2 linked regions of the Tamandua tetradactyla genome follow. The protein of the gene in region 1 binds, or shares a complex with, the protein of each later gene. Links are inferred from orthologs where the notes say so. Each region holds a gene or a part of one and is shown on either strand. Other genes may lie near its edges.

Region 1 (3,912 bases):
GCCCTGGTGGAAACCAAAAGCCCCCACCCCAGAGCAGGGGTGGGGTGGGTGGCAGGCGGCTCCAAGCAGCTGCTTCTCTGAGGAAGCTGACACCAAGGCCAGCCGCTCAGCAACAACTTGTAGCTTTACACCTAGCTCCCTAGTCCCCGCCCACCCGGCTGCCACAAGCCTGCTCCCTGCTGCCCTCTTTCCCCACTGCTTCTCAGACATCCCTGACCCCCGGTAGCCCTGGCTCTTTGCCCTTCACCCCCCAGCTCTTTGCGTGTTTGCCCTAGACCTGCCCCGTTGAATCTGCCTCCCTCCTGGTTCCTCTGGTTTCAAGCCTCTACTTTACCCTGACCCTTTTCCTTGATGTCCGTTCCCTTACACCTCTCTCAGTGGAGTTCACCCAGCTCCTGAGCACACAGCAGGCCTGATCCTCATTCCTCCTGAAGAACAGATGCCATTGGGGCTGGAGTGAGGACCACACACTGCCCTTGAGTTAACCAGAGCACACCAGGATGAGATGACCCTCTTTCTGTGACTTGGGGTGACCCCGTCCCCCTCTTGAAACATTTATCCCTCCCCCTCTGCCATCAGCACATTCTGTAGCCTCTTGGGTTACCCGACTGCCTGGGTATCCCATTTTCCCAGGGGGGGGGGATTCCCTGTCAGAGATGGGGGGGCACTGAAGGCTGTGATCCTGCAGGCTGTTAGAGCAATTGGGGGGGTTGTTTGGGGGGAACAGAGGGCAGTCCTGGCTTTGCTTACCAGGGCCTGGACACTAAATCCCTTGTTGATGGCTGCGGCCACCCCTCCCTAGGGTAGGGTTACCATCTTCTGCCCTGTCCCCTTGACCCTCTCCCTTCCCTACTTCCCCTCATCCACTGCCTCAGCCCCTCAAAAGATGCTCTCCCCCTTTTCAGGTGACTGGAGGCTTGAGGTATCTCTGCTGCCCTTTCAACAAACTGGGTGAGGAGAGATTGGCCGGGGAAATTAGGTTCAGGGTAATCGAGCAGGAAATGAGGGTGTGAAGAAGTGAAAGGTAAAGGCCTGAGCATAGACAAGGACATAAAGGGAGGAACTGGGGAAATGAGTTTGGGATGGGAAATTCAGTGTAACAGAGGAAGTTAAGGCAACTGGAAGAGGGGTCAGTAAGTCAAGACAGTGTGAAATCTCCCCACCCCATCCCTTCCCTGGGGCTAGGGCCACCTTAGCTTCCCTCATGAGTGACATCTCAGGCTGCAGCCCCACTGTTCCCCCTCTGTCAGCAGAAATATCTCTCTCTTCTGACCCCTCCTGCTGGTATCTCAGCCAGCCAATCCCTGGTCTGGAGGAGGGGGGAACCTGGCCCCCCCACTCCCTCATAAGGACCAGCTGGGGGCTGGGGGGGGTGGCCAGCTGCTGCAAGTAGGACGGGGGTCAGAGATTCGTGGAGGGAAGAAAATCCTGGGGGGGGGGGGCAAGAGAGAAAAAGCAAGAAACCCAGACAGGCAGGTGGACACACTGAGGAAGACCCCCACACTTGAGACCCCTCCACAGGAAGAACACACCGCCCCGTGGCCCCCAGGAAGGGAGCACAATGGAGGCCGCACACTCCAAGACCACGGAGGAATGTCTGGCCTATTTTGGGGTGAGTGAGACCACAGGCCTCACCCTGGACCAAGTTAAGCGGCATTTGGAGAAATTTGGCCCCAATGGTGAGTGTCCCTTGGAGGAAAGGCTGGTAGCGCCCTCCTGTGTTTACCCCTCCGCCCTTTTCTCCCCCACTCCCACTCCCACTCCCACTGGAGCCTCTCTCTCCAGGGTAAGGCTGGACCGTGGTCCAGTGACTACAGGAGGGGAGAGGATACTGTGAAAACTCCCTGAGACCCCGAGTTTGGGGAGGTTTCATGGGATGATCCTGATGAACCTCAGCTGCCTTTTCTTTGGCCTGATTCTCTTATCTTAGCTGTAAAGCCTTAGGTATGAAGGGCACTGGATTGAGCACCAAATGATTATTTCCTTTTCTTCTTTTCCCCTGGGTAGAGCTCCCTGCTGAGGAAGGTAAGTTACTGGAGTCCCTGGACTCTCATAAATGACCCTCCCAACGCTGTGTCTCCTACTCCCATCTCCTTCCCTCCTCCCTCCAGACTCCTTGGACAAACATCCCTCCCCAAAGGTTAGAGTCTGGCTTGGGGAGGGGGCCCGCCAGTATCCCAGAAATTCCCTGTTCCTAATCCCGATCCAGGGCCCACTGAGCCCCTGGGCCCCTGCCTCCGCTTGGAGTCCACACCTTCAGCCTCTTGACCTGAACCCCCTCTCCCCTCAGGGAAGTCCCTGTGGGAGTTGGTAGTGGAGCAGTTTGAAGACCTGCTAGTACGGATCTTGCTCCTGGCTGCCTGCATTTCCTTTGTAAGTGTGGCATGGCTGCTAGGGACTGGGGCGGGGGGGGGGGGGGGGGGGGGGGGGGGTGCGCGAAGCCTGTTGGCGGCGGAGGTGCAGGGAGCGCCGAATCATCCGGTCGTCTTGGCCAAGCATCCTCTTCTACAGACCAAAGCTGGGGATGGGGCTGAGGCACGCCGAGACTCTCGTCCCTTCTGTCCTCCACCCTCCGCAGGCAGGTTTTACTTGAAGTTTTATGGGAGTTCTGGGCCAAAACACTGCAGCTAAACCGTCCCGCAGCTTCAAGGACTAAGACTCGGATGACCCCACCCCCACCCCACTCCACCCTACCTTCAAGCGCCCGGCTTCCAGGCTTAGACAAGGACTGAGGCTGTCCGCGCCCCAGACCACTAGTCCCGGCATGCCCCGGGGCTGCGCTCTACCAATCCCTGGGCCTCCCGGCGCCCCCGCCCCGCCCTCCTGACGCTGACTGGCTGAGGGAAGGACTCTCTGGTGGAAGCGGGAAAGAGCCGCTGGTGCGGGGGGAATGGGGCGGAGGGAGCGGGGAAGGGACTCACCACTGCTCCCCGAAGGCTATGGGCTGGGACTCCCGGAATCCCTTTCCTCACCCATCTGCCCTGGACTTCTCAGGCCCCTCATATCCTCAGAGCTGCCCCCCAACCTCATCTCACAACCTCAGAAAAAGCCCCCTGGCCTGGGGCCCCTTTCCAGCACCCAGCATCCCAGCTGTCCTACCACACTTAGGGGTCTCTTCCTTAATATCTTAGTCCTCCTGGAAGACCAGACGCCAAAGGCAAAAAAAAAAAAAAAAGTTTCCTTAGGTCTTCATCCCTGCAATTGGCAGGGCCTCACTTCTACCCTCTGGGATTTGCTCCTTGACATTTGCCGGTGGCTGTTGCCTGGCAGTGGCAACAGCTGGGGCTGGGTGTGTACAGGAGGCCCGTAACCCTATTCCCCCACCTCCCTCATGAAATCGGAGCTGCCCTGCCCATGGGCCTGGTGCCTGCGAGGACCGCAGGGTTTTTCTTCTGGGCTTTGGCTCCCCTGGGATGGATGTGGAGGTGGGGGGTGGTTGGCTGGGTGTCCCCTGGGCTTCATTTACAAGCCAACAACTCAGTCAGGGAAACCTGAAAGCATTCCCAGTCGATCCTCTAGTTGTACAGGGCTGCACGAGCCACCACAGAGCAGGACAATGCATGTGTAAGTGTGAGCCTCTGAATGTGTAGAACCTTCCCAACAGATGTGGGGCTGCACTTGCCCCCTGGGGCCTTGTTCCTTGAGCTCTGCAATGTTCTCATCGCTATGCGGTGGTCTTTGGAATACTTCTGCTTCCTTTCCTTACCTGTTAATCTTCCTCCCACTGTCCCACAGGTGCTGGCTTGGTTTGAGGAAGGCGAAGAGACCGTCACTGCCTTTGTTGAACCCTTTGTCATCCTCTTGATCCTCATTGCCAACGCCATTGTTGGGGTTTGGCAGGTTAGCTTGAGCCCTCTTCGCTCCTTCACATCCTGACACTGAATGTGAGACCCACCATACATTGCCAGTCTC
Region 2 (3,912 bases), on another chromosome or scaffold:
AATGCATTAGGCACGCATATGGTACACAATTCTCAACCATCTGAATAAAAAGTAATATGAAGTTTATTTTCTCTTAGGAAGATTAAAGGTAATTATTTTTTCTTATATACTTTGGCATATTTTCATTTTTTGCAATAAATAAATAATTTTATTTGGGAAAAAAATTTTAAGTGGTTTTAAAAAGGGGGGGGGGGGGGATGGATATTGCTTGGTAACCAGGAAAACATTCTTAGCATTTAAACCATCTGGCAAGCACTTGGAGGCAAAAGATCGAAATCTGACTACATTCAAGGAGTTTGCCAGATGGAAACAAATAACTGCCAATGTTCAATTGTGCTATAATTATTATACACTACCTGTCACTTCAGCAAGCTCTTTTTACAAGGCAGGTGGTGACAGAATGCTGTATTAAGATTATGGGTTGATGGTGAAATGAAGAAATGGAATGGGAAGTCTTTCTTTTAGTGATACCTTTGGGGTATGTGAAAAAGGTTTGACTATGAACACAAATATTTAATTTTATTTGTTTTTGCCTTCTGGGAATATATTATTTCAGTTGCCCCTAATTGGGAATTCCAAAGGGAAAGTTATCCTATTTCTTATAGAGAAAGGATTTGTTGAGCAAACACAGTTGCAGGGGTCAAGTTTAAGGTACTTAATTGATCTGCTTTCAAGTCCAATTAAACACTTAGAAATTCCATTTACCTTCAAACATCTAGTATGCTGATTAAAACTTGTCTTAACTAGTCAGTGTTTGTATTTGAAATTAATAAAATTCTATTTCCTTCAAATATATTCTATAGTTCATGTTTTTCATTAATTTTGACCGGTTCTCCTTCTACCCCTAATCTATCCAAAGACTAGGTTTTGCTGTATGAGTTTAGTGCTGAATTAGTTTACTGATTGAATATGCAAACCTTCTTCTCACGCAAAACTTCATCAGCTCTCTCAGATGAAACTATCTTAATGTGTAAATTTGCAATGTACAGGCTTAACTGGAAAGTCCTGTAAAGCTGATGACTGAGAGGAACATTTTCACTACTTGGACTAAAAAAAGTCAGTTTTGAAGGAGCTTGAGCTGCCTTTTGAATTCTGGTGTGTATGTGTGTGTGTGCTCGCACACACATGCAGGCATGGGTAAGGAAGACAGAGAATGCTTTATATTTCAAGCAGGTAAAGATTTGAGGAGTGAAATGAAGTCCATTTTTTATACCCTGAGTAAGGGGAGCAGCCAAATGCAGCATCAATTTGTTAATAGTCTATCACTGTCTCGGGGTTTATGATGTTTTAAAGCCATGTTAGAGATATTCATGAATATGTAAAAGACAAGTTGGAAACAAATTAAATGCACCAGTCACCTTCGGAAACAGCAGGCTTTTAAGTCCTTGTGATGTTAATACAAATTAGCAGCCAAAGGAACAAAGTGTTAGTCAACATATTTCTCTGCTCCCCTAAACGCAAATAGCCTTGAACCTTCAGAGGTTGTTCCTTTGAGATGGTTCATCGGTGACATCACACTGGTTGCCACCTGCTTGGACTACTTTAGGTCCTGCCCAGAGCCCAGAAGTCACACAGCTCTGGAGGAGAGCCGGCGTTTGAAGAGAAGAAAGAGGAGAAACCCACCGCAGCCACGGTGCGTCCTTGACCCTTTTTGGGGGTAATAGCAGGATTTTTATGTTTAGCATACATTGTGTGCATGTGTGTTTGTGTACAAATTGCAAAGGAGAAAGGCAGAGGGATGTTTATATTTCTTAAAAGCAATAGGCAATGCCTATTGTATACAATTCTCAAGATGTAAAGTGAATATTATTGATTCTTATTCTCCTTTTTTTTTCTCCTCATGGTACACATTTTCTCCCTTCCTGTTTCTTTTTTTATGAAAATTTGATTTTCATAACATAGAAAAAGGGCTGTATTTCATCTTCTCAAAGTCTCCATTCAAAGAACGTCAATGTCAAACTTCCTGCTCAATTTATTCAGAGATATTTTGGTTTTTATTTCATCCACTTGGCAGTCATTTGGGATGATATGCTGTGAACTTGACAGAAACTTCAGAGAAGGTTTAAAATGGGGACAAAACTGTCTTTGGGGATTAGCAGCAGAAAAATGGAAATTTGCTGAGATGGATTTCTGTCTAACTTGGTTCATTCTGGGTGTAAATGTGTGTAAAAGTAAAGTCCACCCCTTACAATTAGCATTATGTGTTGAATTTAATTGGATAATTAATTGGATTCACTAGAAAGTGCTACATATGCTACAAACATACGTAAAATGAATGTTTTATTCATCCAAAAAGATGTAGAACAACAAATATTTCAAATTTACTAAATAGTAAGAGGTAAGCCTCAGGAAAAAAATAAGTTTGGTAGGTAGCCTATTAACTCAGGGACCATCTAAAAAATAAATGTGAAAAGTACATCAAACATGTGCAGTTTAATCAACAACTACAAGGCAATGCCCACCTGGGTTAAGAAAGAGATTACTGCTGGCACCCCAGAATCCATCCCTGATCTCCCACTTCTGCCACCCTAGGGAATCACTATTTTAATTGCTGAGATTATCTTTCCTTGCTTTTCTTTACACTTTTACCATCTATGTCTGCATCCCTAACCAATATGATTAAATTCCCTGTTTTTGACTTTGTATAATGGAATCATATTTTATGTTTCTTTTAAATTCTACTTTTGCCCATCACTTATGCTTGTGAAATCCTGTGTGTAGCTGTAGTTCATATACTTTCTTTGCTCTATTGTATTCCGATGCATGAGTTTACCAAAATTCATCATTTATTCTACTGCTGATGGACATTTGAGTTGTTTCCAGTTGGGGCTATTGTAAAATGCTGCTGTGAGCATTCTTGTACAGATCTATTCTGGTACACATGATCTTGAGTTGCTAGGGTAGAAGCGAAATTGCTAGATAAATAGGAAACAAGCATTTTTAAGTTTAATAAAAATGCCAAATTGTTTCCCAAAGTGGTTGAAAATTTACATTAATGTTGTTTTAGCCAGTCCAATTAATTGCAGTATTAACGCATTCTTGTAATCACTCCTATGCAGAACTATAATCCCAACATTAGTTCCAGTCTGCCAGTTCTAGCTCTGCCTCTAATTTGTTATGCATCATAACACAAGCAACTTAACCTCTTTCTAAGAGTCGTTTCTCAGAGAGTGGAAAAAAATAAAAATCATAATAGTACTTGCCCGAGTTGTTGAAGGTTGTAGAGTTACTGTGAAGGTCGCATCAGCAGAGGTGTGGAACAGTTTTCCTTAGCATTTCCTCACGTTCCGAGTCTATTTCTTTGGGACCACTTCACAAGACTCTTTAAAAGCTGATTCTAATAAGCAGATTTGGAAGGACAGTTATTGAAACCCTTTTTCAACTGGGTTGCTTTGATCATTGTAATCACACTCTCATATTTTCTGCATATCTTCGTAATCCTTAATTTATCCAAATAAGTAGGAGTTTGAACCAGCATTTGATTTTATTAATGAATTCATGAGGAGGATTCTGACTTTGATTCTGTTTCTGTGTCTCAAGCCTCCTGGCCTGAGGTCATCATCTTCCTGTTATCTTCTGCCCTTTGGTACATTCTTATATATTCTCTCTTCCTTTATTCATTCACTTTCTTCTGTTAACTCTCTCCTCAAAGTGAATCTTTGTGAAAATTTTCATTGGCAATCGACTAATTTTCTTCATGCATAGGGCCAAAAGATGGCTAAGAATTAAAAGGAAAATGAAACTTAAATCAGTCATCATTGGCCTCATTTTAAACCAAGATCAGCAATGTACTGGTTGGCACCACTGATTTGAACCTGTGTGTTATACCAACAATAACATAATTGAAAAATGATTATTCAGCTGATGCCTAAAGATTTAATAACTTGGTCAATTAAAAACACAGTAAATGCA

What was found.
Region 2: the proteins of ATP2A1 (region 1) and SLN are in contact, whole or in part, in a crystal structure (PDB 3W5A), measured with the Oryctolagus cuniculus proteins. The link is inferred for Tamandua tetradactyla from reciprocal best matches to the Homo sapiens genes ATP2A1 and SLN. Residues at the interface, in XP_069919846.1 of Oryctolagus cuniculus: Phe88, Val89, Leu96, Ala100, Ile103, Val104, Trp107, Arg110, Asn111, Asn114, Arg324, Lys328, Trp794, Leu797, Gly801, Leu802, Thr805, Ala806, Phe809, Trp932, Ser936, Leu939, Leu943, Leu946, Ile947, Val950, Pro952, Leu953, Ile956; in NP_001075856.1 of Oryctolagus cuniculus: Met1, Glu2, Arg3, Ser4, Thr5, Arg6, Glu7, Leu8, Leu10, Asn11, Phe12, Val14, Val15, Thr18, Val19, Leu21, Ile22, Trp23, Leu25, Val26, Tyr29.

Annotation. Positions count from the first base shown.
Region 1 is NC_135349.1:25,051,362-25,055,273, forward strand, and holds the start of ATP2A1 (sarcoplasmic/endoplasmic reticulum calcium ATPase 1), read left to right. Parts: upstream 1-1,356; 5' UTR 1,357-1,561; coding exon 1,562-1,679; intron 1,680-2,007; coding exon 2,008-2,025; intron 2,026-2,290; coding exon 2,291-2,373; intron 2,374-3,464; exon of another isoform or gene 3,465-3,564; intron 3,565-3,735; coding exon 3,736-3,840; intron 3,841-3,912. UniProt on the Homo sapiens protein: Key regulator of striated muscle performance by acting as the major Ca(2+) ATPase responsible for the reuptake of cytosolic Ca(2+) into the sarcoplasmic reticulum.
Region 2 is NC_135334.1:34,162,644-34,166,555, forward strand, and holds the start of SLN (sarcolipin), read left to right. Parts: upstream 1-1,536; 5' UTR 1,537-1,633; intron 1,634-3,912. UniProt on the Homo sapiens protein: Reversibly inhibits the activity of ATP2A1/SERCA1 and ATP2A2/SERCA2 in sarcoplasmic reticulum by decreasing the apparent affinity of the ATPase for Ca(2+). Also inhibits the activity of ATP2A3/SERCA3.